Linked DNA regions of Lonchura striata. The protein of the gene in region 2 interacts with the protein of the main gene of each other region in a pairwise test. Links are inferred from orthologs where the notes say so. Each region holds a gene or a part of one and is shown on either strand. Other genes may lie near its edges.

Region 1 (9,465 bases), on a different chromosome or scaffold from region 2:
TCCGCGGGGGCTGCCAGTTGAAGGCCATGAATTTCGCATTTGAGCGAGAGATCGGTTTTATCAATAGCCAGCCATCGCTTGCTGAGTGCCTGACATCTTTTCCCCCTGTCGGTGATACATTTCAAAGTTCATCAATCAAGAACTCGACGCTTTCACACTCGACACTGATTCCTCCTCCTTTCGAGCAGACCATCCCCAGCCTGAACCCCGGCAGCCACCCTCGCCACAGCGGCGGCGGTCGCCCCAAGGCGAGCCCCCGCGGCCGCAGCGGCAGCCCGGGCCCCGCCGGCGCCCCGCCGCCCCCGGAGTACCCCTGGATGAAAGAGAAAAAGGCGTCCAAGCGATCCGCACTGCCGCCCGCTTCGGCCTCCGCCTCAGCCGCTGGACCTGCCTGCCTCAGCCACAAAGGTCAGTCCAAAGACGTGCTGCCAGCCCCGCCGGGCCGCTATTTTGGCTCCCCGCATCCCCCCGGCTTTGCGGGGGGACGAGGCGGAGGGCGGCCGGGCGGGAAAGACCGAACTGGCGGGGGTCGATGGAAACCCAAACTTTCCCCAAACTTGCCTAATGCGGGATGATTTATTTGAGTTGGAGCTGACCTCTCTTGTCTCGCCGTCCTAGAGTTAGGATATTTGACAGTAATGAAGAGTGATAGATTGCTCCCGCTCAGCTAAGCAGCTGATGCATTAATTATAAATTGCGGTATGGCTAATATAAAGTTTGCTCTGGTGTGGGGAGGTTGGGGAGCTGGAGGCAGCGATTTGGCGGAGGTGGCCGAGGGGCACGCAGCACCGGGCGCTCAGCAGTGCAACACAATGGGTTTACTGCATCCAAAGGCGGCCATTTTGTTGCAGTTGCTATTTTATGCTATATGGACATATAGATATAGACACATACATGCAGCGAGAGCACTCCCCCCCACCCCCCCGGGATGCGATGAGCTGGGGTGCTGAAATTCAATCCGTGCATTTATCTGTTTTGTATGTGTGTCCGTATGCCTTTGCTTTCGCTGTTCGGGCGGTGATGCTTTGGGGTGCGTGTGGTGGTGGTGTTTTTCTTTTTTTTTTTTTTTCTTTCTTTTTTAACAGACCCCCTTGAAATCCCCGATAGCGGTAGCGGTGGATCTAGGCGCCTGAGGACGGCTTACACCAACACCCAGCTTTTGGAGCTAGAGAAAGAATTTCATTTCAACAAGTATCTCTGTAGACCAAGGAGGGTTGAGATTGCAGCCTTGCTGGATCTGACTGAGAGACAAGTCAAAGTCTGGTTCCAGAACAGGAGGATGAAGCACAAGAGACAGACCCAGTGCAAGGAGAATCAAAACAGCGAGGGGAAATTTAAGAACCTAGAGGACCCCGAAAAAGCAGTGGACGAGGAAGAAGAGGAGGAGGAGGAGAAATCCCTCTTCGAGCAAGCCCTCAGCAACGTCTCCGGCGCTCTCCTGGAGCGGGAAGGCTACGCTTTCCAGCAGAATGCCCTCTCCCAGCAGCAGGCGCAGAATGCGCACAATGGCGAATCCCAAACTTTCCCCGTTTCGCCTTTAACAAGCAATGAGAAAAATCTGAAACATTTTCAGCATCAGTCACCCACTGTTCAAAACTGCCTCTCAACAATGGCCCAGAACTGTGCAGCTGGCCTGAACAATGACAGTCCTGAGGCCCTAGATGTCCCTTCTTTACAGGACTTTAACGTTTTCTCCACAGATTCCTGCCTACAGCTTTCAGATGCAGTTTCCCCCAGTTTGCCAGGATCTCTGGACAGTCCCGTAGATATCTCTGCTGACAGTTTTGACTTTTTTACAGACACACTCACCACAATTGACTTGCAGCATCTGAATTACTAAGAAATTAAAGAAGTCCTCTCTAAGGGTCCTGCTTTCTCCTCCTTATTTTTTCTTGATTTTTTCCCCCAGTTAATTAATTTTATGCTTCCCCTCCCTTTCCCTCTTCACTATTTTCTGTTTGTTACTTCTCTCTGATATGCCATTTTGCCGTTTCTTATGAAGTTTTAGTTGTGTTCAATTTTAACCTAGCCACATTCTAGGTCCTTCTATGAAAGCAATATATGAGGTCTGTGAGAAAGTGATCATATAGGAATGTATCTTCACTTTCTTTTTATTTTTGTATTACATTAGGATGCGTTGTCATAAGTATTTTTGGTAGAATAAATTCTTGTTTGCTACAAGGAGCTTTCTCTTTTTTCTTTCTCTTTCTCCTCTTTTTCTCTCTGCTTTCAAGACGGATAACATGACGGGTATCTCTCCCCATCCCTTCCACTATTAATTTACTAATAATCAAAATCCAACATTTTGACAACGAGCTCTTCCCTTTTGGCAATCTAGGACACTCATTAGAGAGGAAAAAATCGTTCATTTCCTTTATTGTAAGGATTCTCATAAGGGAAGGAAAAACAAACTAAAGAAATTAGAACCGTTCACAGATTTTATAGACATTTGCTCCTTTTAATGTATAAATATGGCATCTTTGTGAGGATACAAAGCTTGGAAATCCTGAGCTGTAACAAAAGCATGAATGAAGACTTTCTCTGCTACAGGCAGAACGTAAGAGTGACTCAATAGGGTAAGTGTCTCCTTCAGAAACCACCAGCCTGTTACATGAACGAAAGGAAAGTTGCTTTTAATTATTTTTTTTAATTAATCCTGGTTTTCTAGAAAGTAGTGCTTAGCAGCCAGCAAGATATTTCAGAAAACGTATCTTTAAAAATATCAGAGCTCACAAATAATGTGGTTGGTTACTTCTCACGTGCTGAGTAATCCAAGAAATCAGCCCTAGGAGGAGAGGAAATGGAGAAGTTAGTGCCTGTGAAATCAAAAGGGTGGCAGAAACGCAGGGGGAAGAAAAAATATTTAGGGAGGAACCGGCCTCTCCACTCCATCCTTCTCGGGGGCGGTGCGGGGGCAGACCCGAAGATATTTTTCTGTGTAAGCCTTCTCGAGAGATGAAAGACTGATAACGAAAAGGGGAACCTCTGACTTTAAAGTTACAATTTTCTCGGGCTCACTGCTCTTCTGCTGGAGGCGGCTAGACGGGCTTTCAGAAATCTCCACCAAATTGCCTGCCACCCGGTGTTACCGAACCCCAAAGCAGAGGGTGAGCCCCGTCCTTCGGGCTAAAACACAGCAACAGATGCCAGCGGGGCTCTGCCTCTCCGGGGCCAGGGAATCCCGTGCGGGGACATTCGCGGCTCCTTGAATGCGTGTGAGTGCGAGTGAGTCCGAGCGGTCACGTTACACAAGCGAGTGGGGCTTGGGTGGGGGGTTGTGAATGGGGTCCGTCCATGAGAGCAGTGCTGTCTCCCAGCCCTGTAACACGCTGTGGAGCTGGGATGCGTGGGTTATAGCTGGAAGGGCTGAACGCAATTCTTCCGAAAGTCATAAATCAAACTCTTTCTATGAATGAGAATGTCATCAAAGAGATCAATTGCAGGAACACATTCACAAATAAAAATCCTCTTACGTATTTGCCGAGGCTGGGGATCCCCGTCTAAAACCATTAAGTGAGAAGGCGTTTAGTCATAATTCACTTTTATTGCTCTTTTAAAACAACAGCTTGGCTGAGCTGCGGGCGCGGTGAAACCTCGGCCTCAGTTCTCCTCCTTCCCTCTGTTCCAGCCATGTCCCTGCGGAAAGCGAGCAGCCTCACCGGCATTTTCACTCCCCTGCCACTGGGTTAAATTGGACCGCAACGTTCCTGTAAGGCTTGGGGTTTCTTTTGTGCCCAGATTTCCGGATGCTGACTACACTTAAAGAAAACCAAAGCAAAACGAACTAAAAAAACCAAACCCAAACAATAAAACAAAACCCCCAAACAAAACCCAGAGATGTAAAAAAAAAGAAACGAAAATAAAAAGGAAATGGGAATATTCTACAAGGTTTAAACTTCTCACAAACTCAATTTAAATAAATGGGGGAATTCAGCAAGCAGAACCCGCCTCCGAGGCTCTGGGTGAACTATGGGGCCACAGCTGGGGCACACTCCCACGGAAAAGCCTAAACAGCCGGGATCGCCCCCTCAGCCTCAGTTCCGTGGCAGGAAACGCGGAGCGAAGCCGCGGAGGGGCCGGGATGGCCTGAGGGCAAGGGGAAGGGGCCGTAGCTCCCCCTCGCCTGGCCGCGGAGGACGGAGGGTGTGGTGTGTGCTCCTCCTCTGCTCCGACCCTTCTCATGATGTTGCCCCCATGCTTAGTGCGGGCAGCAAAACCCGAGAGCCCCGCCAGGGAAACAATGCAACAAGAGACAATGGCACCAAAAAGGCAGAGGAAAAAGGATTTCAGGATGCTGGAGACTGTAAGAAAAGTGATTGATCGGAATTTACGGGTAAAAGGGATCTAGTTGTAGTAAAATATTTTTTTTTTCCCTTGGCTAAAGGAAAAAGCATTGAGAAGATGTCAGCCCTTTTATTAGTAAGCAATACTAATCGCTGTCTTTTTTTTTTTTCTCTGCTTTGTGCAGTATTTATCACAACGGGTTTACAAGAATGAAATAAATGTGTTTACAGCTGCAGCCATAACCAAAATTGGCGCAGTATAATATCATAAACGCCTCTAGAGTGTTGTTGCTCTTGTCCTCCACTCCACCCCCCTACAGTTTAAGAAACTGAACCTTTCCAGAGGGCCCTTAACCATCCCCGCCTCTGTAGTAAATCAGAACAAATAGACGTACTGAGGGCACCGGGAATGATGCGTGGTGGAGAGGCGCCCGTCGGTTTTGGCTGACAGTAGAGCGGCCGTGCAGATGCCGTGGGATAAGGGCTGACCCAATAGCAGTAGGAAGGAGAGCTTTGCACCTAGTGTTGTTGTGTCGCAGTTCGTGTGGGAGGGAGGAGCTTGAGGGTGTGTATGTGGGTGTGTGCGTGTGTATTCGTGAGCGGGGAGTGGTAGCGTGGTAGAAGAGCCTTTTGGATTTCAAAACAAGCAAGGATCGAGCGTGAGAACAGAGGGACGTAAGAGTCGGCACCTGCAGAAATAGAGGGGGTAGCCCCTTCTGGGGCTAGTGTCAGGGGACATGACTTTCCATCCATCTTTCTCCGAGGCTGACGTTTCGCAGAACTTATTTTGAAGACTTTTGGTCCCGTCCTTTCTGCCTGCAGACGGTTGGGTGAGCTGGGACAGACGGATGCCCGGCCTTTACCTCCCCTTTCCCTTTCCGCATACGTAAAACGCATATAAGGTCGTAACCTACATCTCACCGCCATCCCTCCTTCTCTAGCCACGGACGAATTTTTTGACCCACCTCCCCACGGTGTTGGGGAGGGCTGGGTTGGAGTCGATCCTCAGAGCCGTTCCCGAGGGTCCTGGGGCCGCCTCTGCCACTGGCCATCTGCCATCTCTCCCTACCGCCGACCCGGGTGGCGGAGCGCAGGGACAAAGAGGCCGGGCCGGCGGGCTCTGCGCCTCCCTCCGCTCCTCTGCCCCTGTCCCGGGTCGCCTCCTCGGGCTGCGACCCGCGACACCCCGGACAGCCGTCCCCCCACCCTGTCCCAGGGCGGACGGGCGGCAGCGGCGCTGCGGGAGCACAGCAGATGGGCTGCGGAGCCCCCGGGCCCCCGTCCAATCATTCGTCCTCCTGCCCCCGGCTCCTCCTTCCCTAGGCTGGCGAGGGTGAGCCCGGCGAAGGCGCGGGGGGAGAAGGGATGGGGGCCAGAGGGTGGCCGGTGAGCCTGGGAGAGCACAATGGCCGTCAGTCCCAAAAGCGCCTAATTTCCATGCTAATGTCCGCGGCCGCCTGGTGATGCGGCTGGACAAGCCCCTTTAACTCTTGGCGTGGCGTCGCGTTGGGACTGCGGCGGGGCTGGACCAGCGAGACCCCCTCGGCACCGATACTATTACCGTCTCCACCTCCACCCACATCCCATCCATATCCATATCCTCGGTCCCATGCCTATTCTTTATTCTCTACCTTATCCTTACCTTCATTCCTTTTCTTATCTCAATTCCCGTCCCGGTAGAAGTCCCCAGCCGCATCCCACGGTCCCATTCTCATTCCCGTTCCAAGGGCTGATGCTCTCAGCGCTGTCTCTGCCTCTCTCCGCCCCATCCCTCGCCCCGTGCCGCGGATCCAGTCACCTCCCCTAGCCACCCCACCCCACCCCCGCCGCTGTCCTGGCCGGGGTTGATGGGCAGCAGAGGTGCCCGGTGCAGGCTTGACAGCGCCGACAGCAGGGTGATGCTGGGGCACACTGGCAGCAGCACTCACCCTGGAGGGGACGGCCGGTGGGCTCCGCGGGCCGGGCGCAGCCTCCAGGTCTCTCCTGCCTTCTTCTCTCAGCTGGCGGACGAGACCCAGGGGGCTGCCGCGGCGGGGGTGTGTGTGTACAGCCCTGCCCGGCCCGCCCCCCACCCCCTGGGGGCCACGGCCGGCGCCTCCCTGCCCGCGGTGCCGCTCGGTCGGAGCGCTCGGCGTTTAAATGCCCCCGATGCGGCGCTGTACCAGCGACAGGAGCCGGGGAAGCCCCGCGGGCGCCGCAGCCATTGGCTGCCGCCCCCCACGTGCCTGCCCGCTGCCGGCGCCTTCGTGTCATTTTCCTGCCGGCCCCATGGAGGAAGTGGGAAAGTTGGCGCGGCCCCGCCGGACGCTGAAGACCCGGTGGCGGCGTGACAGACAGACGCGGCGAGGATGAGCTCCTTCCTCGAGTACCCCGTCCTCGGCGGCGAGGCGGGGGCCTGCGCCGCCCGCGCCTACCACCCCGACCACGGGATTACAACTTTCCAGCCCTGCGCCGTCAGCGCCGGCAGCTGCAGCGGAGAGGACCGCTTCCTGGCGGGCCGCGGGGTGCCCATCAGCCCCCACCGCCACCATCACCACAGCCCGGCCCAGCCCGCCGCCTACCAGCACCACGGCGGGCTGGGGGTGTCCTACGCGCACCCCGGCTGCGGCCCGACCTACAGCGCGCAGGGCTTCGGACCGGCGTACGGCCCCTACCCCCTGGGGCAGGACGCGGAGCTGGGCGGCGGCTTCCCTCCCTGTGCCCCCGCCGTGTACTCGGGGAGCATCTCCTCCTCTGCCGCTGCGCAGCACCCGCTCCCCCACCAGGGCTACGCGGGGGCCTCCGCTCAGTACGTGCCTCCCCCTTACGGGCAGGACCAGCAGAGCCTGCCCCTGGGCACCTACAACCATGCGCTGTCTCCCCTCCACGCTGGCCACCGGGAAAACGCCCGCTCCCCCTCCACCGAGACCTCGCCGCCGGCGCAAACCTTCGACTGGATGAAAGTGAAAAGAAACCCACCCAAAACAGGTCAGTGGCCGGCGGGAGGGCCGGGGCGGGGGCCGCTCCTCTCTCTGTCCGCCGCAGGTGCGGGGAAAGAGGCGCGGTATCCCGCGGGGCTCTGGGCAGGTAGGTCGGCCCGCACCTCTGGGATCAGTCGCGGCTGCCTGCCCGCGCAGCTGAAAGCCAGCGGCGCTTATTCCCCACTTATTCCTGACTCCCCCTTCTCCTCCTCTCCCGTGGTCATATTTCTGGTAATTCATAAACCACTTATCAAGTTTGCTCTGACACTAGAGGCTGACTCCGGTTTAGCACCTCGTACTCCATCACTCACCCTGCCGGGGTTTCCCTCTTATCCTAAGAAGTTCTTGCTCCCTATCGCTTAGCCGGTGTGGACATATTGATTACATCGCCTATAAATCATTTGCGCTCACTTACCGCTGCATGTCCCCTCGCAGGCAAGGCTGGCGAGTACGGCTTCGTGGGGCAGCCCAACACCGTCAGAACTAACTTCACCACCAAGCAGCTCACCGAGCTGGAGAAGGAGTTTCATTTCAACAAATACCTGACCAGGGCCAGGCGAGTGGAGATCGCCGCCTCTCTCCAGCTCAACGAGACGCAGGTGAAGATCTGGTTCCAGAACCGGCGGATGAAGCAAAAGAAACGGGAGAAAGAGGGGCTGCTGCCCATCTCCCCCGCCACCCCCACGGGCTGCGAGGAGAAGGCGGAGGACTCGTCGGAGAAGTCCTGCTCCTCGCCCTGCAGCGCCTCGCCCGCCTCCTCCGCCTCGGACACGCTCGCTGCCTCCAACTGAGACCGGCTGCGCCCCGACGGCCGCCGGGCGCGACGCCCCCGCCGGAGCGGCACGCGTCCTTCCGCCGCTCTTATGTCGGTCCCTCGGTCGGTCGGTATCCCCGAGAGGTCCCGGCGAGCTGCCGTTCCCTCCCCCGCTACCTCCGCCGCCGTCCGGCCCCGGGGGTGCCGGCTCCGCCGGGTCCCGGCGCCTTGGTGCTAGGGGAATTTTCTTCCTGGCCCCCCCTTCCTTTTCTGTTAAGGGTGGAGCTGTGTTGGCATCCGCGTAAGGGTCCCCCTCCACCACTGCAAGGACGCTCCACCGAGTTTCCCTGAGTGAAAGACAGGTTATTTAGGGTACATAACCTCACAAAGAGATGCACTATTGCAAGTGTTTACACGACTTATAGGACATTCATCCCCTTAATTTAATGTATTCTTTGTTCGTGTCAATGTATTTGTTGCTTGTAAATACTTTGTCCGAGAGATTTATCTTTTTACAGATTTTTCTAGAATGATGTTTCGATTATCAGGTTAAGCAGGGTGAGTGCATTCGCCAAACTGGATCCATTTTTATATTGGTAAAGTAGATGACCGTATCAAGTAAACGTCTTAAGCTCAAGCAGATACCTCAAAAAAGTAGCGCTATTTCTTTAAATGTGACAAACAAGGCTTCAATTGCACTAGGTTTTTTTAAACCTTGCCCAGTGTGCTTGTCCCCCCTCCTTTTCCCCCTGCCCCAAAAGCTGTGTTGGATTATGTGCAGCTGAAGGGCACAAGCATCCAAAAGACCTCGCCTCTTCCTATTTTCATATTAACCTTCCTTTAGACTCGATGTCTTTTCAAACTACTCGTGAATGTGACAAATGGCCAAATGAATGTATAATTTCTGTGGTTGGTGTCCAGACCTTTGCATGACGCACCGTGCTTTGCTGTACTGCAGGTACACTGAGTTCTATCAGTTGTCGTGTGTGAGCAAAATGTCCTGATTTTTCTGTACAATCATGAAAGGCTCTGTGATTCCACCAGTGGTGGAAGCCAGGGCAGGATTTACGGGTCCTTATAATGTCTGTAATAAATATATTCCACTTTCAGGTAGCTCTTGTCTGCCTACCTCTGCGTGACGTCAGCGCTGAGTCACAGGCTGGGCTCAGCGCTTTTGTTTCCCTTCTTTTCTTCTACTGGGGTCTTTCCAATGGGCAAAGGGAGTAAGAGTCTCACAACCCCTCCTGTGTTGTTTTGTCAGAGTCAGAGAACTAGCTGCCCAATCTGACATCCTACACAAAACTTCTTCCTCTCCTATGCTCAAAAAATATTATTTTTAGACAATATAAGGCCCTTCTCTCCATTCTCTGTAACTGGGAGGAATTTATGATCCCAATCTAATTCTGAAGCACAAACAGGAGAACTTCCTGGGTCAAGTGCTAACCTTTTCACCTCGGGATGGATGCTG
Region 2 (10,247 bases):
AATACTCGGCCCTGATCCTGCTCTCACACCTCCTATTGACAATATCTTCATCATTATGCAAGACCTTGTTGACGCTTTTTAATCTTCATAATTATAGTCTGGCAAGGAGGGATCGTTAAGCACTGAGCAGAAAGAAAAAGGGGAAGGGAAGAAAAAAGATACAAAGGTGATCTGTGCTCTACCATCTCCCTAGGAAACAAAACCTTTTTCATTTTGACTGGATTACAGAGAGAGTAGGGGAGATGCAAGATGCTTTTTTCCTAAAAAAAAAAGAATAATAAAAAAAAAGATGAATTGGAGCCTTACTGGAATTGCTGTCTTTGGGGGATCAGTGGATCCAGCCCAGAGCAGTGCTCCAGGGAGCAGGGATGGTGCAGGGCTGGACTCTCAGCCTGAGAACCCCAACTCCCTTACTTTTGCTGATGTTCTCCAGGTGAATAAAAGTGCCTGGCCCAGACTCACCTGAGTGGAAACTCCTTATACAGAAAATAAATTTACCACAAAGTAGGTAAAACATAACAGATCCCAGATGGTCCTCTCTCCCAAAATCAAACCTAACTCCCTGAAGACTCTGGAGTTCCAAGGACCAAATAACACCTATCCTGCATACTGGCTTTGCCTGTCATCCCATGTCATGTTTAATTAATCACTCGGACACAGTTCTGGTGTCAAGTCCCTCTCCACATCCTCCCCAAACTGAAATGTTCATAGTTCTGGGCTCTGGCTTGGTGCCCAAAAGAAAAAAAAAAGTGAAATTCCTCAAGTCTTAAATGAAAATTGGAAGTGATGCCCCAGTCATGGAGGATTTTGGCCCGTGGAACTGAAAGCTGGATGTGACCAGGAGGGTCTGAGTGCTGAGCTGGCATGTGGTGGGGGGAGGAAGGCCAGCAGCACCCAGCAGGATGGGACTGTGACACTGGGAATGTGACACTGGGACTGTGCCCATGGTGTCACATCACCCAGCTGGGACCCACAGGGAGAATCCCACCCAGGTGAGGGGGGGAAACCAAGAGCCAGGTAACATCTTTTATCAGACAAATCTTCAACTCCCAAAAGCTGAGCCACCATTCCTACCAGCAGAGGTCATGTTAATGAACGACTCCTCTCCTTAAATCCCTTTTTGCTTAGAGCCCCACAGGGCTGTGGTGCTGTCAGACCGGTGCTGAGCCACGGGCACTGTGATCCATGCAGGGACCAGAGTGAACTCTCACTGACCTCTGTTACATCCCACAGAAAGCCTGGCTTTGGCTCCCAGCTGGCAAACACACCCACAGAGCCCAGAGCTGGGCGAGCTGGAGCAGGGCTCCTCGGTGAATTCTTGCCTGCATCCAGCACCACGGCAAGCGAGACACTCTTTGCTGCTGGGATGAAGTCAGAGCCGCCCTTGGACATTCCTGTGCTTTTCCAGACCGATCTGCTCCCTCTCTGCAGCCTCCCTCCCAGCTCAGGGCCCTGCATTGCTTTGCTCAGCGTGTCTGGAGGGTGGTTAATGAAATGTTTTGGTGCACAGGATCAGGTTTCCTGTGTGCTGTTTGCTGATGGCACCTCACCTCTGATGGCAGCAATCCACATCAGGCAGGGATCGCACCACGGGCAGCGAGGCTTTGCCCAGCCAGCAGCAGGGGAGGATTTACAGGACCCAGCCTGAGTGCCAGGACCTTCTCCCACTGCTGGAGTTATCCCTGACCCACAGCAGCCGAGGATGCGGGGTGCTGATGCTGGGGGAGAAGAGGTGATTTGCACTGGGTTAAGGCTGGAGCTGGGCAGTGCCAGCACTCACCCACGCAGGGCTGGCAGCAAGGTGACACAGGACTGTGGCATGGGGGGTCACATGCAGCATGACAGCAGCAGGGAGGAGGTGCAGAGGTCCTGGACACTGTGGGACAGTAAGGAAAGGGTCTTGGGAATTCCTCCTCTTGCAGAGAGAGCCTGGCTGTTAACAACGAGGTAACCCTGCTGGTTCCAGTGGCACCAATACTGGTCTGGACTGGTTGGACAGCAGAAGCCAGCCCAGGGCACACGGCCAGGACAGTGCAAGTTCTCCACCTGGACTCCAGAGACCATCCAGCCATCACAAACCCCTCATCCACACACATCCCCATCCCTAATGGGAGTTTGTGATCACCCTGTGCTCTCCCACCCTGACTCCAGGTCACTGCTGGACACGGGGCTCCCCTGCCTCAGGGGTGATGCCCAGGGCACAGGGATGCTCCAGCCAGTCGCTTCCTCACTGTGCAATTCAAAGCCAGTGAAGAGAGCAAACAGCCAGGCAAAGAGCATTCCCCGGGTGAGTGCGCCCTTCTCGCGTCCCTCGCATCACTCCCTGCTCCACTCCTGAGCTCTGGGAGCCCTCACACCTCTGCCAGCGCTTTGTGGCATCCCCTCGGCCAAGTTCCCCAGCCGCAGGCAGCAGAAATCGCTCCAGGCAAGCAGAGGCAAGCAGCTCCCGAGGAGAGGCAGACAAGCTGCCCACACCTGAGAGCGAGCGAGCGGCGCAAACCCAGCCGGGGGTAGCCCGGGCTAAGCAAAAAGGCAGCGAGCAGATCCCTGCGGTGACCCCAGAGCTCCAAACACAGCGAGGAGCGCTGGAAACCGCTGGGCTGGGCTCGCCCCACCTTGAGCTCCGTCCCCCGGCACGTTCGCCTCTATCTCTAAGGGGTTTTGGTCCCTCTCCCCACGGAAAAACCAGGTAACTTCCAACATCTCCCGTGTGTCTCAAGCTCGGGAGCAACAGAAGCTCATCTCCAGTAAATCAAGGAAGCCGGAGAGCAGGGGCTGGAGAGGGAAGGGAATGTATGGAAGCAAAAATGGGGAGTTACAGCAAGGGGAAAAAGCAATGGGTGGGTACGGGTGTGCTGGAGCCGGAGGGGTTCAGGTTTGGACATCCACCCCAGCCCCACTGCCAGCTCAAGGTGGGTTTCGAAATCCCCAGCTGCACCAGCAGGCTTAAACCAGAGGAACCTAATTCCCCCGGAGTACCAACATCTCCTAGAACCATTCTCAAAAAATCCAGCGGCGAGCAGCCCGGCGATAACCCCAGAGACACCTCCGGCGGCGGGGCGAACCGGGAGCTGGCAGGCAGCGGGAGCTGCAGGAGCCGCACGCTGCCCCGCGGGCAGACCTGCCTGGATCCCTGTCCGGATCCCTGCTCGGATCCCTGCCTGGATCCCTGTCCGGATCCCTGCCTGGATCCCTGCTCGGATCTCTGCCCGGAACCCTGCTCGGATCCCTGCTCGGATCCCTGCCTGGATCCCTGCCTGGATCCCTGCTCGGATCCCTGCCCGGATCCCTGCCCGCATCCTGCCCGGATTGCTGTCCATATCGCTGCCCGGATCCCTGCCCAGTCCCAGACCAGTCCCTGTCCGGATCCCTGTCCGGATCCCTGCTCGGATCCCTGCCCGGTCCCTGCCCGGTCCCTGCCCTCATCCCTGCCCGGTCTCTGCCCGAATCCCCGCCCTCATCCCTGCCGGGATCTCTGCCCGGTCCCTGCCCGGTCCCTGTGCGGTCCCTGCCCAGTCCCTGCCCGGATCTCTGCCTGCATCCCTGCCGGGATCTCTGCCCGGTCCCTGCCCTCATCCCTGCCCGGTCCCTGCCCGGATCCCTGCCCAGTCCCTGCCCGGTCCCTGCCCAGTCCCTGCCCGGTCCCTGCCCTCATCCCTGCCCGTTCCCTGCCCGGTCCCTGCCCTCATCCCTGCCCGGTCCCTGCCCGGTCCCTGCCCGGATCCCTGCCCAGTCCCAGACCGGTCCCTGTCCGGATCCCTGCCCGGTCCCTGCCCAGTCCCTGCCCAGTCCCTGCCCGCATCCCTGCCCGTTCCCTGCCCGGTCCCTGCCCTCATCCCTGCCCGGTCCCTGCCCGGTCCCTGCCCAGTCCCTGCCCAGTCCCTGCCCGCATCCCTGCCCGGTCCCAGCCCGGTCCCAGCCCGGCTCGCTGCCATGCCCATCCGGGCTCCATCCGCACACCCCACACCGCACACGGAGCCCGAGCCCGGCCAGCCGCAGCCCCCGCCCGCAGCAGCCGGGCGAGGCGGCGGCGGCCAGAAGCGAGCACCAACTTTACCTAAAGGGTCTCAAGGTGACGAGGCATCTTCTGACCATTATCTTGCCATCCGCGTTGACAGTGATCATCGTTCGAAGTTGCGGGCAGGGGGCGGCCCCGCACCGCCCCAGCGGCAGCGAGGGCGGCGGCGAGCGGGGCTCGGCGGGCGGGGCGCGGGGCTGCGCGGGGCTCCGGGGGGACGCGGCCCCCCAGCCCTACCCTCGCCCCTGCCCGCTGCCGCCCCAGCCCATGGCCGGGCCCGCTCGGCTCCGCTCGGCTCCGCTCGGCTCCGCGCACCCCGCGCTGCGGCTCCGCTCCGCCCCGCGGAGCCTCCGCCGGGCTCCGCCGGGCTCCGCTTGCCATCTAGCGGCAACCCGGCCCGCAGAGGGGCGGTCGGGCAGGGGCAGGGGATGTGGGGCTGCGGCAGCCTCCCCCCGAGGTCAGGGGATGGCGTTTTGGGCAGCATCCCCGCGCAGCTGACAGCCCCGGCGTGGGCACCTCGGGAGGCAGGGATGGTCCTTTGGCGGGGCAGTCAGAGCAGAAATGCCACCGAGCGCCGTGCCCGGGTGCTGTTTGATTTGTAGGGGGTGTTTAGGAGCAGGACAAACCTCCCTAGTGGGGAAAGGCGGGTCTGGAGTCTCTCGACAGCAGCAGGATGCAGCTCTGCGGCCCCATCGCTGTTTTCTCTCTGGGTGCACGGTGACAGCCACCATGTGGCTCCCCAAAGTCCCCCCGGGTGGTGCAGGGTGCTGCCAAGAGGACCAGGGCCGTGTCCTTGGGAGGGCAAAGGGACGTGAGAGCTGAGGCAGGAGAAGCAGTGCTGAGCTCAGCAGAGGTGTTCCCGGCTCTCCTGTGGAAGGTGACAAGCACAAAAAGCCTCCCAAAAGTTGGGACTTAAAGGAGCCAAGTGTGCACAGAGCCCAGAGACGCCCCATTTCCAGCCCCAGCCAGGATGGGTGCACCCCACTGGGGGTGAGGGAAGGATGCAGCACCCTGGGGTGAGCACAGGACAACATTGTCCCCCCCCGGCCAGGCTACAGGACAGGGCCAGGCTGTGGTCTGGGGGCTGTGGTGCCAGCAGAGCCCCCTCATGCCACACTGCCCTCATGGCTGGCTGTCCCTCTTTGCTCTGGATACCACCATGGGTACCGTAAAGCACAGGGTGACACCAGGGCACAGCTGTCCCTTTGCCTTCCCCACAGTGGGATGCTCTCTTCCCATGGTTTTTCCCAGCCTTTCTCCATCCCATTTTCCTCCAGAGAGAGAAAACTCCCTCCAGCCCCACCTGCCTGGCCTGGCTTAGTGATCTGCACCTCGAGTGCTGAGCAATTCCAATGCCCTCCCAGCACCAGCCACCCACTCCTCTACAAACTGACCCTGCTTGTGCATAATCCCAGGGTTTTCCGTGGGGCTGAGGAGGTGGAAATGCTGCTGTGATACTGCATTTCCATGGCCACTCCAGATGCTCACACTGCTTCCTTCTCCCCAGTGGAAACCAGGAATGGCCTTGGTCAGCAAAGCTCCAGGGAGCATAAAGCTGCAACAGCACCAGCCACGAGTGAGCTCAGGGATAGCAGCTGGAAATTTACCCCAAACCAGATTTTTTTTCCCCCATAAAACAGCTTTTTTTTTTTTTCAAGCAGAAGTGAGAGGTAAAACCGTATTCTCCAGGACCTCTGAAACGCAGGAGGGTTTTTGTGTTCATCCACGTGTTTTGTGGGCAGGAAGGAGTCATTGCCACACCAGGGCTGGGTGGGATCCCAGCAGGATGCAGAGGGATGCACAGGCTGAGGATTTGCAGGAAGTGTGGCTCAGGAGCAGCAGCCAGCCCTGCCAAGCCAAACCCTCAGTTCATCTTGGCAAGGACACCCTTCCCTGGAGCCCATCCTGTGGGGACCTTGTGGACACAACCAGGCACGGGCAGAGCCCAGACACCAGCTGGGTGCTCAGTCCCTGCTAATTTAAGTGCAGCTGGGAGCACCTCTGGAAAAGCCACCTGGAGTTCTTCACTGCCCATTGGGCAAGGAGTGAAGTGCAGGTGCTGTGGGGATGCTGCTACCCTGATTTCCTGCCTTCTCACTCCATTCCTAGCTCCTGACAGGAATTCTCGGTGCTCACCTGAGCTATGAAACCACCTCAAAATGTGGTGCTGCCCTCCAGAGCCCGGCTCCAGCCGGCAGCAGGAGGCAGAGCCCTTCATTCCAAGAACTGCTTTCCAAATCAGCTCAGCTCTGTGGGGCTGGAAACTTTCCTAGAGCACAAAAACGCTGCATGGAGTGGGTGGTGGAGCAGCCTGGCATGTGCCAGGATCCAGATGTGCCTTCCTGAGAGCCTGGGAGGGACAGGGAACATCCCAGAGGGGACCAGAGCTGATGTGGGCTCAGTTCTGTGGGGTGGGACCCTCTGACCTCCATAAGGATAATGCCAAGGTCCTTCTGTGCATCCCACAAACTCTGGATTGTGCCAATCCAGCTCTGCCCAGCAGGAAAATCCTGGGGAGTGGTGAAGCACCACACATTAATTATTTAAGAATTAGGGGTGGGTGACACTGAGGGGAGAAGGGATGGTGTCCTCCCACTCCTCTTTCCAGAGCTGATCCTGGGCTGGAAAACACCCCCAAAGGGTTTGGATGTTTTTTGGGCAGGCAGAAGGCAGCTCAGCCATCTTGGCTTCCCCCAGGTGCCTCCTGCAGCACTGACCAGGAAATTAAAATAAAATAAAATATAAAATAAAATAAAATATAGAAATATGCTCTTGTCAATCTCCATGCAGATGCTGGCAGGGCGCTGGGTTCAGCAGGGAACAACTTCTGCAGTTCCCAGTTCCCACCGGAATCAGCCATGCAGGATCCATCACCCCAGGGATGGGAATGTGGCATTCCCCACCCCCCAGGGCCCTCATCCCTGAGGAGAAGAGCTGCAGCAGCCAGTCCTTTCCCTCTGCTGCTGCTTGAAACAAAAGCTTAATTAACTACCAGCTCACTGTCTGTTTAGAGGGATAAATCTAAAATCCAAGGATGGTAATAAAGCAGTGAATTATCTTCTTCGGCAGCTGAGAAGCAATAGCCTCAAAAATCAATATGCTGAACTTATACTGCACACACACACACACACACACACACACGCACTTTTGTTTGTTATTCCAAATTCAGCAGCAGCAGGGAATGGAGAGAACCAACTCAGCAGCCAGGTGGCCCAAAAGAAATAAGTTTGGCACCAATTAGAGCCCCTGGCCAGCCAGAGGCAGACATGCAGCATCCTCAGAGCAGGCTCCAGGCTGCTCCTCCCCTCTGCCTGTAATTGGGACAGGGCCAAAATTCCAGCTCCAACACCAGAGCATCCTCTGGGAGATGGGACTTGCCCTGCACCACTGGCCTAGTGCTCTGGTTTAGGGCAAATTTGTGAGGAAACTTCTGAATGGGGTCCCTGTATAAAGCAAATTAAGCAGCCCCTCCCTGCTACTGGTTTGGGAGACATAAACCTCCTTAGAGAGAAGTGGAAAAAACTGTTTATTTAACAAGCAAAGTGCTCACAGAGATGGAAAATGAACCCTATCAAACAATGGAACCTCTCACTGTTCTGAAGAGATGGCAAACTCAGACATGCCTCATCATGAGGCGTGGATCAGCTCTCTCAGTCTCTTTATCAGTCCCTCTGGGCTGGAAATTGCTGCATCCCAAACCCCAGTGGGCCACAGGTGTGAGCTCACAGTGTTTTTCTGGGTTTTCAGTGCAGAGAAAGGTAGAGCAGTTCCACAAAAAAGAGAAAACCAATCCAGGAAACTTCCCTGCCCCAGCCAGCTAAAAACTAACTAAAAGCCAAGGAGAGCTCTGTCCTGCTGTCTGTCCGTGCTGCAGCCAACACAGTCCAGGAGAAGGAATGCAGAGGAGCAAGTGCAGTTTCTGAAAACCACACTTTGTTATTAACTCTGTTATTAAATAATTAGTGTGCTTAACAAAGTGTCAAACCACTCTTTGTTATTATCTTGTTATTTGTTAACAAACTCCGCACTTCTCACCTCCTTCGCTCTCAGAATCAATCTTAAGGGTGCAGAACTTAATATCCAGCACAAACAGAACAGACAACTGGGGATACAAGCATCATAAAATCACCCTGGGACACGTGGCAAAAAAACCTTGGGAATTTTTAATTGATCCTTGGTTGCTGTGCAGCCTCGAGTCCCAAAGCTCCCTGCACAGAACGTCATGGACTGGGTCACCACAGCTGCAGGAAAGGGGTAATAAACACAGGGGGGCTGTAACCCACCAGAAATAAAGCTTAAAATATATTCTTGCAAAGGTCACAGATGCACATGCATCACTGCTTGGCTGGGGGCACCTCCAGAGAACTGAAGGAACACACCACACTTCCTGCAAATCCTCAGTCTGTGCATCCCTCTGCATCCTGATGTGATCCCACCCAGCCCTGGGGTGGCAATGACTCCTTCCCTGTCACCTGCCCATGAAAAGCATGGATGAACATAAAAAGCCTCCTGCATTTCAGAAGTCCCAGAGAATACAGTGACAGGATTTATTTGGGCTTTTATCCCCAGCACTGCCCATGTGCTGGCGTTCCAAAAGCACCCCAGGACCCTCCAGAGCCTCCCCACTCCAGCCCAGGAGTGCTCCCCTCTCCTTCAGTGCTTTCCAAAGCCTGGGGGGCTGGATCTGCCCAAGTTTCATCTTGGAGCCTCCTCTCCAGCCTAAAGCTACTGGGTCTTCATGGAAAAACAATGATCCCAGAGGGAGAGAATGCCAGCAAACAGTGGAGCTGTGATGTGCTGTGACAAGCCACTTCCTTCAGTTCTCCTTGCCCTGGAGATAAGAGAGAGAATTTGATTGCAGGAGCTGCAAAGCCCAAATGCTTTGGGCATTAGGATCAATTAGTCACCATAACTCCTCTGTCCCCACAGGTGACAGGGAGCTTTTCTATTGTCACCAAACAACTCCAGGCTCCACCGCTGGCTCAGCCTCAATTGCTGCATTCCTGCCTCTGCCCATCTCTGTAACAACAGCACAGAAAGGCCCCAGGGACCTCCTGTGCCAGCAGCATCACCAGCCAGGGGCAGAAAAAAAAACCACCACCCAAATTTGCTCCTCAGAATGATAGTAAAAGGGTTTAAAATCATGGGGATTTAGGGTTAAAAGGAAAATTAAGCTTAGTAGGCCCTGAAAGAAAATAAATACCCTAAGTATACGAAGATTTTGTACCTTACTAGAAGTGCACCTGTGTAGCTAGTACATGATAAATTATATAATTGTTAGATGTGATGATTGTTTAGTAATTAAATATAATTACTGTTTAATCGTAAGAATAATCATGAGAAACTGTGGTCAGGGGCCTAGGAAATCACGAGAAACTCATGTCAATGTATACAATAGAATAATATAAGTTTAGTAATTAATATGTGAGTTATATAACGATAGAATATAAAATATGTTCAGCTCGAAAGCCGTGTCGGAGTCAGATTTGGGTCTGGACCCCTGATTCCCAGAGCTCTTAATAAAAGCACCTGCATGGAATCATATCCCAGGATTTTGTGTGCTCCTGGCAGCACATGGGATTCTCCAGCTCAGGTGAGGAACACGGAATTCTCCAGCTCAGGTGAGGAACACGGAATTCTCCAGCTCAGGTGAGGAACACGGGATTCTCCAGCTCAGGTGTGGAACACGGAATTCTCCAGCTCAGGTGAGGAACACGGGATTCTCCAGCTCAGATACAGAACACGGGATTCTCCAGCTCAGGTGAGTAACACGGGATTCTCCAGCTCAGGTGAGAACACAGGATTCTCCAGCTCAGGTGTGGAACACGGAATTCTCCAGCTCAGGTGTGGAACACGGAATTCTCCAGCTCAGGTGTGGAACACGGGATTCTCCAGCTCAGGTGTGGAACACGGGATTCTCCAGCTCAGGTGTGGAACACGGGATTCTCCAGCTCAGGTGTGGAACACGGGATTCTCCAGCTCCTGGCAGCACAGGGCAGGCAGCGCTGCCTTGCAGGGGAATTTGAGGAGCTGCTGCTCTTCCAGCCTGTCAGCACTGTGAATCCTTCACTTCCATTAGCTGCTAATTCGCTATTCAACAGAGGAAAAGAATCGATGTAGGGATGACTCCTCAGCTCCCAATAGGATTATGTGTTCTGAGAGCAGCGGGGAAGCTGAATTTCCCTTTCTCCTCCTGCTTAAATAAACTCATGCATTTTTCCTTACTGTG
Region 3 (10,348 bases), on a different chromosome or scaffold from region 2:
TATATACACCATATATCCATATATAAATATATATGGTGGCATAGGCTCCGAGGCGTGTAAAAATCGAGCGCCCTCGCGGTAGAAGTTTGTGTCTTCAGCGCGTACTGATTTTATGAGGGCTCCCATCCCCTGTCCTTCGCTTTCGGCCTGCACGCAGAGCCCGCGGCCTGGGGGACGCGAGCCGGGAGGGGCCGGCAGCGAGACCCGCACGGAGCGGATCGGAGCTCGCCACGCCGCGATAGCGAGGGGCAGCGGCTTGCTGGGACACGGCCCTGGCGATTACTGGGAATAACCAGAGCGAGGGGAAGTCGCTCGGATGGCATTTTGCTCCATCTCTGCGGCGCTTTTCGTCCAGCCCAGAGGGTTCTTCCCCCCACAGTCAGACCCTTCCCCACCCTGGCCTTCCGCTGCTCCCTGCACCGCTCGCCGCCCACTTCTCGAACCGGTCCCCAGTGCAGGGCCGGCGGTCGCTACCCGCTCCGGGCGGCATCTCTCCGTGGCCGAGAGCTGAATTCCTCCTCTCCGACCTGGATCCCAATTTTGGCCATTAACATCCAGCCCAGAGCAATCCGTCGCAGCGCTCCCCAGAAGGGGCGGCTTCCCCGAGCCCCCCGCGCTCCGGCGGCCCCGGAGCAGAGTTCGCTCCCGGCGGGGCTGCAGCCCCTCTTACCCGGACTCGGGGCTCGGTGAGGTTGGTCCAGACGGCGATCTCCTCCCTCATGCTCATGTCGGGGTAGCGGTTTCGCTGGAAGGTGGCCTCCAGCTCCTGCAGCTGCTGGCTGGTGAAGTGGGTCCGCTGCCGCCGCTGCTTCTTCTTCTTCGCCGGGTCGTCGGCGGCCCCGTCTTCGTTTTTCTGCTCGCCGCTACGCTCTTTTTCTGCGAGGGGTCGGGTTGGGGATGGTTGGTTTATTTTTGTTTTGTTTTGTGTTTTTGTGCTTTAATTTTTTTCCCAGTACAGACACACAAAGGCAGATATCCCCGCCCCGCAGTCAGCGCTGCCCACCCCACCGGAGACACGCGTGGGGGCCCCACTGTGTCCCGCCGAGCCCTGCACCAAACGAGCGCCCCACAGCCCATCCCGGCCTTTCCCGGCGCGGCTGGGGAAGGAGCAGGGAGCCCTGCCGGGCCCAGGGCACCCAGGGATGCAGCAGGAGGGACCCTCAGAGCGGCTCAAAGCGGGCCCGACGGGTGACTGCATTCGTGGGGAGCGGGGTCCCCGTATCACCGGCCGCTCCGCCTTTCTACGGCACCTTCTCGCTCCCTCCGAACCAAGGCGTGATCTTTGCTCCATTGTTTTTGTTGTGCTCGGCCGCGACAGGAAACTTTGGAAGGGCAAGGGTGGAAAACCCCGGAGCAATTAATTGCAAAAGGCCCCTCTCTGCTCCCCTCCTTCGTTCTACTTTCATAATTATTTTATTCTTCAACTTTTAGGATTTTGGTGTTTATTTTAACACAGGGCTGAGCGAAGCCCTCCGCAAAAATCATATCGGAGAAGGAAAGAAAAAAGAAACCACCCAGGAGGGTTTTCTGGGCCGGGATTTGCGCGGGCTGGGAGCAGGAATTCAATACCGACCCTGCGAACCCCCTCTCCCCTTTCGTAACGGGCTCTGTGGCTCTCCCAGCCCGGCTTGGGCCCGGTTTGTCCCGGCTGAAGCGCTCGGAGCGGCTCTAAAGGCCCTGAACCAAAGAGCTCCCGGGCTGGGCCCCGGAGGCGCGGGGAAGCTGCGGCCGGGCCGTGCAGGGCCGGGGCCGCGGCCAAGCCCGGCCTCGGTCCTGCTGCTGCAGAAGGGAAAAACCGCGGCGAGTTTTCGCCCTTGGAGTTTTGTTTTTTTTTTTTCTCCTCCTTTAAAGAGTTTTTTTTTGTTTGTTGGTTTGGGTTTTTTGTTTGTTTTTGCTTTTGTTTTTAAACAGAAGGTTTTCTCCCGCCGCCGGCGGGCCCGGGGTTATTTCTACAGCCCCGACCTCTGCGAGGTAAGCGGGAGTCTAAAAATAATCTCGTGCTGAATGCAGAGCCCGGGAGGACTCGTCCTTGCAAAGTCACCCTTGAATCGCACCTTGCTGGGAGCCCTGCACAGGGAAAGGGGTGAGGGTGCGAGCGAACCTCAGCTGCTCAGCGGACCCCCAAAAGGGGCCGATGGCTCTGCGGGGTTTGCAGCGAAGCCAAGGCCTCTCAGCGCAGACCCCACCGCCCCGGGCCCCCCGGTCCCCAGACCGGCCGAGCCGCATGGCCCGGCGGCGGCGGCGAAACAGAAACAGAAATCACCCCCGCCAAAACAAATCCTCCCGCTTGGGCCGCGAACGGCTCGGATCAAGCGCCCGAGAGGGAGCGGGGCGATCGGGGAGCGGCAGCGGTCCCGATGGGCTCCGGCCGCGGCCCCTCGCCCAGCGCTGACTTTTAACTCGCCCGGTCCGCCCTAAAAATCCGGCCTCAGCGCAGGGCTGTGATACAATTCCAAATCATAAGGCAAGGCATCTTTAATCGGCTTTTGTAACTACTTTTTTTTTTTTTTTTTTCACATTAAAAAAATAAAATCTAAAGGCATTTTACAGGTTCTCGGAGAAGAAAAGCAGGCAGCTCCTCAGCCCTCCGGCAGCACCGAGGGGTCACACACAGGGGTAGGGCAAAATGGAGCAAATCTCCCTCTCTAATCTCCAATAATCCCCTCTAATCTCAGAGTCCCTTCCAGACGCCGGTCTCTAACTTTGTTTGCGAATCAGGCCGGGCAGTACAACCCAAACCTTTTTCAATCACCGAGTGCCACTTTGGGACCGACTCTTACAACAGCTACTCTCTAGGTTAAAATTCCAAAGAGCAACAATAGCTATTAGAAAAATAAAATTATATAAAACATAAACTCCCTCTGAAACAGTCTGGCTGGAGAAGGAATATCACACTCCTTCTTTAAGTTTTTGTTCCTCTCTTCTACCTTTCCCTTGTCATTCTAAAAATGTTGTTGTTTTAATTAAATGCAATCTGAGAGCACAGCGTTCCCTGTAGCCCTCGCACACGATGGTCAGGGCATGGGGATCCTTCCCTTTTCCTGCGGGGAAAGCGTTCAGCTCCCACGCAAAACCTCTCCGCGGCCGCCCACATCCCCTCCGCGGCGGCCCGCACTGCCTGCCTTGGCCCCACGCTGCCTCTCCGGCTCTGCCTGCCCTTTCTTTCTTTTTAAAAAAAATTCTTTTCGCTGACAGAGAGATCTTTTTCCATCTCTGCACCACCCGAGCTGGAAAATAAACCCGGGCAAAAGCTGACATTATTTCAGAAACATCCGGCAAAACCGCACTCCCCGAAGAGCCTCCCCTTCCTCCCGACCCCATCAATTAATAACGACAGTTTTTTATTTAAAAATAAATAAAATAAATAAAAGAGAGCAGCTCCTGGGATGGGACCATGGAGCCATGTGTCCCCCCGGCGGGCTGTCAGCGCCGGGCACGGTGGGGGAGGCAGCTCCAGGAGGGCCCCTGCCCCCCGCTCCGGTTCCCGGGGCTCGGTTGGGATGGAGTCGCCGCGATCACCGGCAGCTCCTGCTCACCCCTGTCCCTCCATCGCCTCCATCGCGGGCTCGGCACCCCCGGCCGCCCCGCGGAGGGAAGGCGCGGTGGGGAGGGGGAGGCAGCGCGGGGGGAGAGGGCCGGGGCCGCGGGGGCGCGGGGAGGGGGAGGGTTACCTGGCACCTCCGTGTCGGAGGATTCACTGGCTGAGTTGTCGATCGGGTCTCTGGGTTCCGAGGATCTTTGCAAATGGAAGCTGGAAGCCATGTCATGGGAGGGTTGGGGTCTCAAGCTCTCAGGCAGTCTCTCCAAATTCATTCCACCTTTAAAGGAATCCATGGCAGGGGCGCCGGGCTGCCTGGGGGAGTTTGCAGGTGTTTATTCCACACAGAAAGGAACAAGGAGCTTTTTTTTTTAAGAAGAAAAAAAATCAACAAAAACCAAAAGCAAATCCACTTATTACTAACAGTATTATTTTAAGGGTGTCGGAAGCAATCTGGGCAGTGCGTGGAAGGCGGTTGTCTCTGCTGGGGAGAGTCACGGCGCTCCGGCCGCATAGGCAGGGAAGTGGTAAAGATCCCTTATAGAGAAACGCGAGTTGCGAGTTGGACAGTTTAAAGCTAAAGAGATTAAAGTGACCTGCCCTAGAACAAATGCCTGTAGTTAAACGGGGCTCCTCCCCCTGAAGGTTAAAACCTCCCCGTCTCGCTCATGCATCACTCCATCTAGCGCTGGCCCAGCCCGGCCGCGCGGGACCCAACTCCGCACTCCCCGCCATCCGCGCCCCTTGCGCGTCCGCGGCCAGACCCGCGGGCCCCCGCCGCCCCTGCCCGGCCCCCGCCGCCTGGCCGCGGCTCCTTCGGGGGTGCCTTCCCTCCTCCTTCTCTTCACCCGCCTCCTCCCCCAAACTCGGTGATGTATTAAAAATATTTCACAAACGAATGGAAAGGTGGACAATCCTCTGGGGACCCCCGCCCGCTGCCAGCACCCCGTCAGTTCACTCCCCTCCGTAATCCCCTACCAGCCGGCAGCGCGCAGGTTGCGCCCCCGTGCAGCACGGCAGCCCCACGGGTATCCCCACACCCTTCCAGACTGGGCCTCACGACCCGCGGAACCTCCGCACCCAGCAGTGGATGCGCACCCGCGCACTCCTCAGGGTTTCTGCGCGGGGCTAAGTGACCCCACCACACATTTCAGTCTCACGGGGAAAATGTTCCTGGAGGGGTGCATGGGCTGTGGGCTCTGTCGGAACTGGTTTTAACCTTTTTAAACATTATTTTCCAGTCTGCGGGGGATATAAGAACGCTGCCCGGGCCCGGCTGGCGGCCAGGGGAGCGCAGCCCGGGGAGCAGCGGCAGTGCCATCTCTCCCATCACACCATCTTTCAGCACACGATTAATAACAAATAATTTTCCTGCTGCAGCCGAACTCGCGTTGACCCTCGGGAGGGGTCTCTGCGACTATGCCAGTCCGGGAGCCTGGGCAGCCTGCGGGGAGGGAGGTGGGAGACCCCCACCCCTCCTCGGCAGAGCCCCTCTCCTGCATTGATGCATCCTGTCCCGAGGCAGGGGCGTGTGGAGCACGGCCCGTCCCCGGTGCGGCCCACGCAGGCCGGGATACGGCCTTAGCCCTCCTGGATAACAACTCGGTGTCTTGGCGAAGTGGAAAATCCCACGGGAGAAGAAAGGTGGGAACCGCGGGTACCGGCGGTGAGAGGAAAGGGGAGAAAGAAATGGGAGGAAGACCCTGGCTCTGACTGTCTAGGGAAAGGACCTTCTCTCCTCTCTACTTTCTTGGCTCATTTTAACTGATCTATCCTGACACTCTATTTTGCTTTCAAATCAAGTAAAGATGTGGGAGAGAACTTTTGAACTGTTTTATGGAAAAGTGGAGGGAAGCAGTGTTGCAGCCGCGCAGGATTTTTCCGACCTCACGGAGATGATGGAGTCGGGCCCGCCCCGCACCCCCGGCAGCACCCCGCAAGGCCTGGGGACCCCAGGTGTGGGAAGCCCAAAGCTCCAAATCCCTTCACCTCTGGTCTTTAGCATCATTCAGGGCATGCACATGTGGGTGCTGTCAGGGTCATCTCTCCCGAGCTCTCTTTCTTTTTGTTAATTTTTTTAAAGTGACATCTTGATGTCCTTCTGGCCTTCGCCGCTCCCAGCTGAACTTCGCTCAGGAGTCTGCAAACGACAGGGAATTTCGAGCACCCGAGGTGAACCAGACAACCTCGGGGCTGTTTAAGATGGACGTGGTTTAAAATGCAAATATTTACCGGGGTCTCCGAGCCTCAAGGGGCTCAGCTGATGCAGGAGGCACGGGAAGGATGGAGACCTCCTCCAGTGTGAGAAGCAAGAGGTGGGAGCGGCCTTTCTCCCAAGGAGGGGGGAGGTGTATTACTGCAAACGTGCGCCGTATCTGAGACCCTTCACCGTCCCCTTTTTTCCCTTTATTTCCGTGGGCGGCAGCCCTGGATGGGCCTGCGGGGGCTCCCCCGCCCTCGGCGGAAGGGGGACGGAGCGCAGCGGGCCGGAGGGAGGGAGGCGTTGACCTTAAGGGTCTTTTTCAACCTTGATGGTTCTATGATTCCACGAGTCTGCCAACAGCCTGGCTCCGCTCCGGCTATTTTAAACCCACTGCTCACAGCAACCTCCGAGCCGGAGGCAGCATTTTCCCGTTTCATTTAATTTTTCTTTTTTTAAAAAAATAATGCACCGAATTACGTTTTTTATTCTGTTCTATAAAATCTAGTTTTAAAATATTCGTTCTAGGTTCAATTCCTCCCCGCTGGACGGAAAGATAGGCTCTGCCCGGGCACCGGCGTGATTCTGCCGAGGCGGCGACCGCGGTAACGCCGGGTCCTGTTCTCTCCAGGCGATCGCTGCCCTCGGTTCCTCGTGGAGTGTCACCGGGGCAGACATCCCCCGATACCACCCTTAAACAGAGAGCACCGGGCTGGCCCTCGGGAGCCGGAGCAGATCCAGGTTATCCCCTGACCGTCTCCATGAGTGTCCGTGCCTGGGCCGCGGCGTGGGCGGGCATTTAGCGCACACCTGAGCACGGCTCGGCAGTGGGAGAATATATCTATATCATAAATCTATCTAATCTAATCTTGTATCTATCTAATCCATACCATGTATCTGTCTCCTCTGTGTGTCTCATACGTCTTTCGTGGATTTAAGGGCATCCTCTCACTCCGCACTCCGTGCAGTGGGCACAGTCCTGGAGCGCAGAACCAAATCCTCCCGGTAATTCCCGCTGCTGCTCCCGACACTTATGTCACGATAGAGCGCGCCTCCAGGGCGGTCACCCCCAGATCTGCGCTTCTCCTCTTCCCTCCCATCCAAGCGCTCAGCTGCGGGATGGCGAGGACATCTCTCCGCCGGCAGCTCCTTCACCAGGCGTTACGTCACGGTCCGCTCGCGTGACGTCATTCGTTGCCTCGCTGACCTCACGTCACGCCTTTCGGCCAGGCACGACCCGCGGCAATCCTTGATGTCCCGCTCGGAGCCGGCTGCGCTTCCCGGGGCTTGGAGGCGGCCCAGCGGCCGCACAGGCTGGGCAGGACGGGGGCACCGGGCTCGGGTGCCGCTTTCTCCCACCGCCTCGGGGGGGCTGAGGAGCTGCGGGGAGGAGCAGGAGCCGCAGCAGCCCGGCCGCGGAGACCCCGCCAGGACGTCCCTGGGGAGCCGCGACCTGCGTGGGCGTGGGAAGGGCCGGGCAGAGGCAGGGGGAGGGCAGGGCCGGGGCGAGCAGGACCCGCGGAGCATCGGCGGGGACCCGGGTGGCGGGACAGCTTCTCGTGGGAACGCTCCGCGTGGGGTGGCCGGAGGGCACCGCCGCTCCGCGCCCGCGCAGCCACCGCGCTCCCGGCACCGCCGGCTGGGGACTGCGTCAGGGATGTGTAAAACGCTGGAAACCCGCAAATAAAACCGCACCACTTCCTCCTGCTATAAATAACCTCAGAACTAAGGATGGAGCTTAGAAACAAATCAGCGCTGGCCACGCCAGTGACAGCCTCGTGAAGAAGAGACGCGTCTGTCCGAGAGCGAGACTCTCACTGTCCCCGAGGGGACAGCGCCGTCTCACCCCCAGGTGTCTGGAGCGGGTCCCTACTTTTGGAGTGGCGCTCCCATCCCCGCTGGTTGCGGTGGTTGCAGCCAATGCCAAACCACCTGGGCCATATATCAGGTGATGAAGTTCAGTCTCTGCCAGCTTTTCCTTTTCAGATTTATTACCGCTGTATAGACTAAGATTCAGTCTATAAATCATTGGGAATTGTTACAAAAATGAAGACACGTCCTCCCAAGCACACCTCTACCCGAGAAGAGAGGGAAGCCTTCTGAGAAACAGAGGTGCAGTGAGGCAAGTGAGGAGGGAGAAGCCCCCCAAGGCAAACCCAACCAAACCCAGTTCAACCAGCCAAGTGCAGTCCAAACAACGCCAATTCAAACAAACGCAGTCCAACCAAACCCAATCCAGCTCAACCAAACTCAAGTCCACTCAGCCAAACCAAACCAAACCGAACCAAACCAAACCAAACCAAACCAAACCAAACCAAACCAAACCAAACCAAACCAAACCAAACCGAACCGAACCGAACCGAACCGAACCGAACCGAACCAAACCAAACCAAACCAAACCAAACCAAACCAAACCAAACCAAACCAAACCAAACCAAACCATACCAAACCAAACCAAACTGCAATGAATGCAACCAGACCAAGCCCAGCAAAACCCAAACAATGCAATCCCAGCCAAACCAAGCCCAAACCAAACCGCCAACCTCCCTTGGCGCCCCCTTTGCTGAACCGGAGACCGGACCTGCTGCAGGAAAACAACTTTTAATAATGGAACCATCCAGAAAGTGCCACACGGGCGCACTTTGCTGATGCATGACTCTGACCCACGGATGACCACGCGTGTCGGAAGAAGCAGAGTCCGGCGATGCGCGATGCCCCGCGGAGCACGGGGCGGGGGCAGGGGCTGTTGTTGCACTGTACCGTAGGGGTGGTGTCCGTCGGGGAAGTGTTCCAGGGGTGTCCTGCCTCAAAACAGCATCATCCCAAATGAAAAGCATGACCCTTATGCAGAAGGTGCAGATCCGCGTTTATGCCCCCGCGCAGGGCCAAGCTCTGCTCTCTCCGCGCGACCGTGGCCCAGGCCTGAAGGGAAAAGGAAGCAAAACCCCAAAACGGCGAAAGGAGCCCCAGAACCCCCCGACCTTTGCCGGAGCTAGAGCCGGGTCCCCCACGGGCGGGGTGCAGTGGGAAGCAGTGAGAGGGAAGAAACCTAGCCCGAAGTGCGTGTTAAATCGCTCAGGAGGGGAAGGTGGAAAATTACGCTGGCTCCCGGCCGGCCTGTCCTCCTCTGCGCAGCCAGGACAGCAATTTTCCTAAGAAGTAGAACAAAACGAAAACAGCCCCTTTTGGACGAGCAGCCTTCGTCCCTCCATATGTCGGCCAAGCCTCCGCCTTCCGCGGGAGCGCAGGGCCCCTCCGCGCCGCGGATGCTCTGCGGGAGGGTTTCCAGCGGCCGCTCTCGGCCCCCCGGCCTCCCGCTGCCTCCCTGCCCCATCCCGCTCCCCGCGCTCCGGCCGGCCCTGCCCCACCGCCTCGGCTCTCCCCGCCACTGAAACACGACGGGGGAAAGGCACGAGGGATTGTCCGGCCCTGGACACTTCCCGGGGCACCCGGGATAGCCGGGGCTGCCTCCCCGCCCCGCCAGCCGCATCCCGCTGCGGGGCTCCCCCGGGCGCGGCGGCCAGCGGCAGCGCCTGAAAAAGCTCGGGATGAAAATGTTGAAGGCTTAATGTTTTCTGACAGATACAAATGATACCCCAAGGCTTTCTTGAAATGCAACGACTGACGGCTGGAGAAACGGTTTTTTTATTCGGGTTTCTGCAGCTGGAAGCAGCCGGGGGTGGAGCGGGATGGTGCTGGTTCACTTCGGCCGTCATTCTACCAGCACCCCGAAAACAAAACCATTTCGTAGTTGTCCGACGTGGGACAACTTCTTTTAACACCAAAGCCCTGGCGGCATAGTCTCACCCTTGCCAGGAGCTGCCTTCCAGCCCTCCTCGCATCCGTCAGACCACAGGCACTGAACTCTGCTCCAAGAAAATATGAATTTGCTGCTAGCAGCGGTTTGGATTTGTCTTTGATAAACCTGATGTGAGTGGGAGAGTGTCAGTGCACTGCAATGACATCGTCGGAGGATGGACAGCTCAAGAATATGTTTTTTTTTTTTTTTTTTTCTCTAGGTGGGGGAACAAGAGGGGGGAAAATCACAATATAGCCACACAATTCCCTCTCTGGGCAGAGCGAACATGCTTTTCTGATTAATTGACGGAGGAAGGGGCACCGGAGTTTGCTAGGAAGCCTGCTCATATTACTCTGTGCATCTTTAGATCCCGAAATGTGGCTCTTTTGTGGGCTCAAAAAGATGCCTCTGAAACAGGATAATCAGAGGCCCGAGCACTCTGTTGGTATTTGTTGAAGACTCTTCTTCAGGAGAAAAAAGAAGCCACATTTAGAATGAACGACATTAGGTTTTCTTGTGAGTTTCCCCCACCTTGTTTTGGGCGAACAACCTCTTAATTACTCCAGCATTTGGATGGGAGAAACACATTTCCATTCAAGACGACATTTCCTGAAGGGCTGAAATATTCTAATAATGTGCTGGACTCTTTAATGTGCTTAGAACAGCAGCGAATCTCTGCAAGACCTACACATTTCCTGCCTTAAATGCAAAATCGGAGAAATAATTAAACTTTGAGCACATTTAACTTATCTTCTCTATTATTTTGCTTATTTCCCCACCTTTTATACTTTTTGCTTTTAATTTTTTCCTC

Evidence for each region.
Region 1: the proteins of MGAT5B (region 2) and HOXA1 interact in a two-hybrid assay, tested with the Homo sapiens proteins (2 studies listed by BioGRID). The two-hybrid records come from large-scale screens. The link is inferred for Lonchura striata from reciprocal best matches to the Homo sapiens genes MGAT5B and HOXA1.
Region 3: the proteins of MGAT5B (region 2) and PITX1 interact in a two-hybrid assay, tested with the Homo sapiens proteins (2 studies listed by BioGRID). The link is inferred for Lonchura striata from reciprocal best matches to the Homo sapiens genes MGAT5B and PITX1.

The regions. Positions count from the first base shown.
Region 1 is NC_134603.1:123,483,737-123,493,201, forward strand, and holds HOXA1 (homeobox protein Hox-A1), read left to right. Parts: upstream 1-6,631; coding exon 6,632-7,250; intron 7,251-7,678; coding exon 7,679-8,034; 3' UTR 8,035-8,131; downstream 8,132-9,465. Other genes in the region: HOXA2 (homeobox protein Hox-A2), read left to right, coding at 27-408, 1,086-1,840. UniProt on the Homo sapiens protein: Sequence-specific transcription factor. Regulates multiple developmental processes including brainstem, inner and outer ear, abducens nerve and cardiovascular development and morphogenesis as well as cognition and behavior.
Region 2 is NC_134621.1:3,824,442-3,834,688, forward strand, and holds the start of MGAT5B (alpha-1,6-mannosylglycoprotein 6-beta-N-acetylglucosaminyltransferase B), read right to left. Parts: upstream 4,193-10,247; 5' UTR 4,126-4,192; coding exon 4,058-4,125; intron 1-4,057. UniProt on the Homo sapiens protein: Glycosyltransferase that acts on alpha-linked mannose of N-glycans and O-mannosyl glycans.
Region 3 is NC_134617.1:9,220,338-9,230,685, reverse strand, and holds the start of PITX1 (pituitary homeobox 1), read right to left. Parts: upstream 3,835-10,348; coding exon 3,672-3,834; intron 877-3,671; coding exon 671-876; intron 1-670. UniProt on the Homo sapiens protein: Sequence-specific transcription factor that binds gene promoters and activates their transcription. May play a role in the development of anterior structures, and in particular, the brain and facies and in specifying the identity or structure of hindlimb.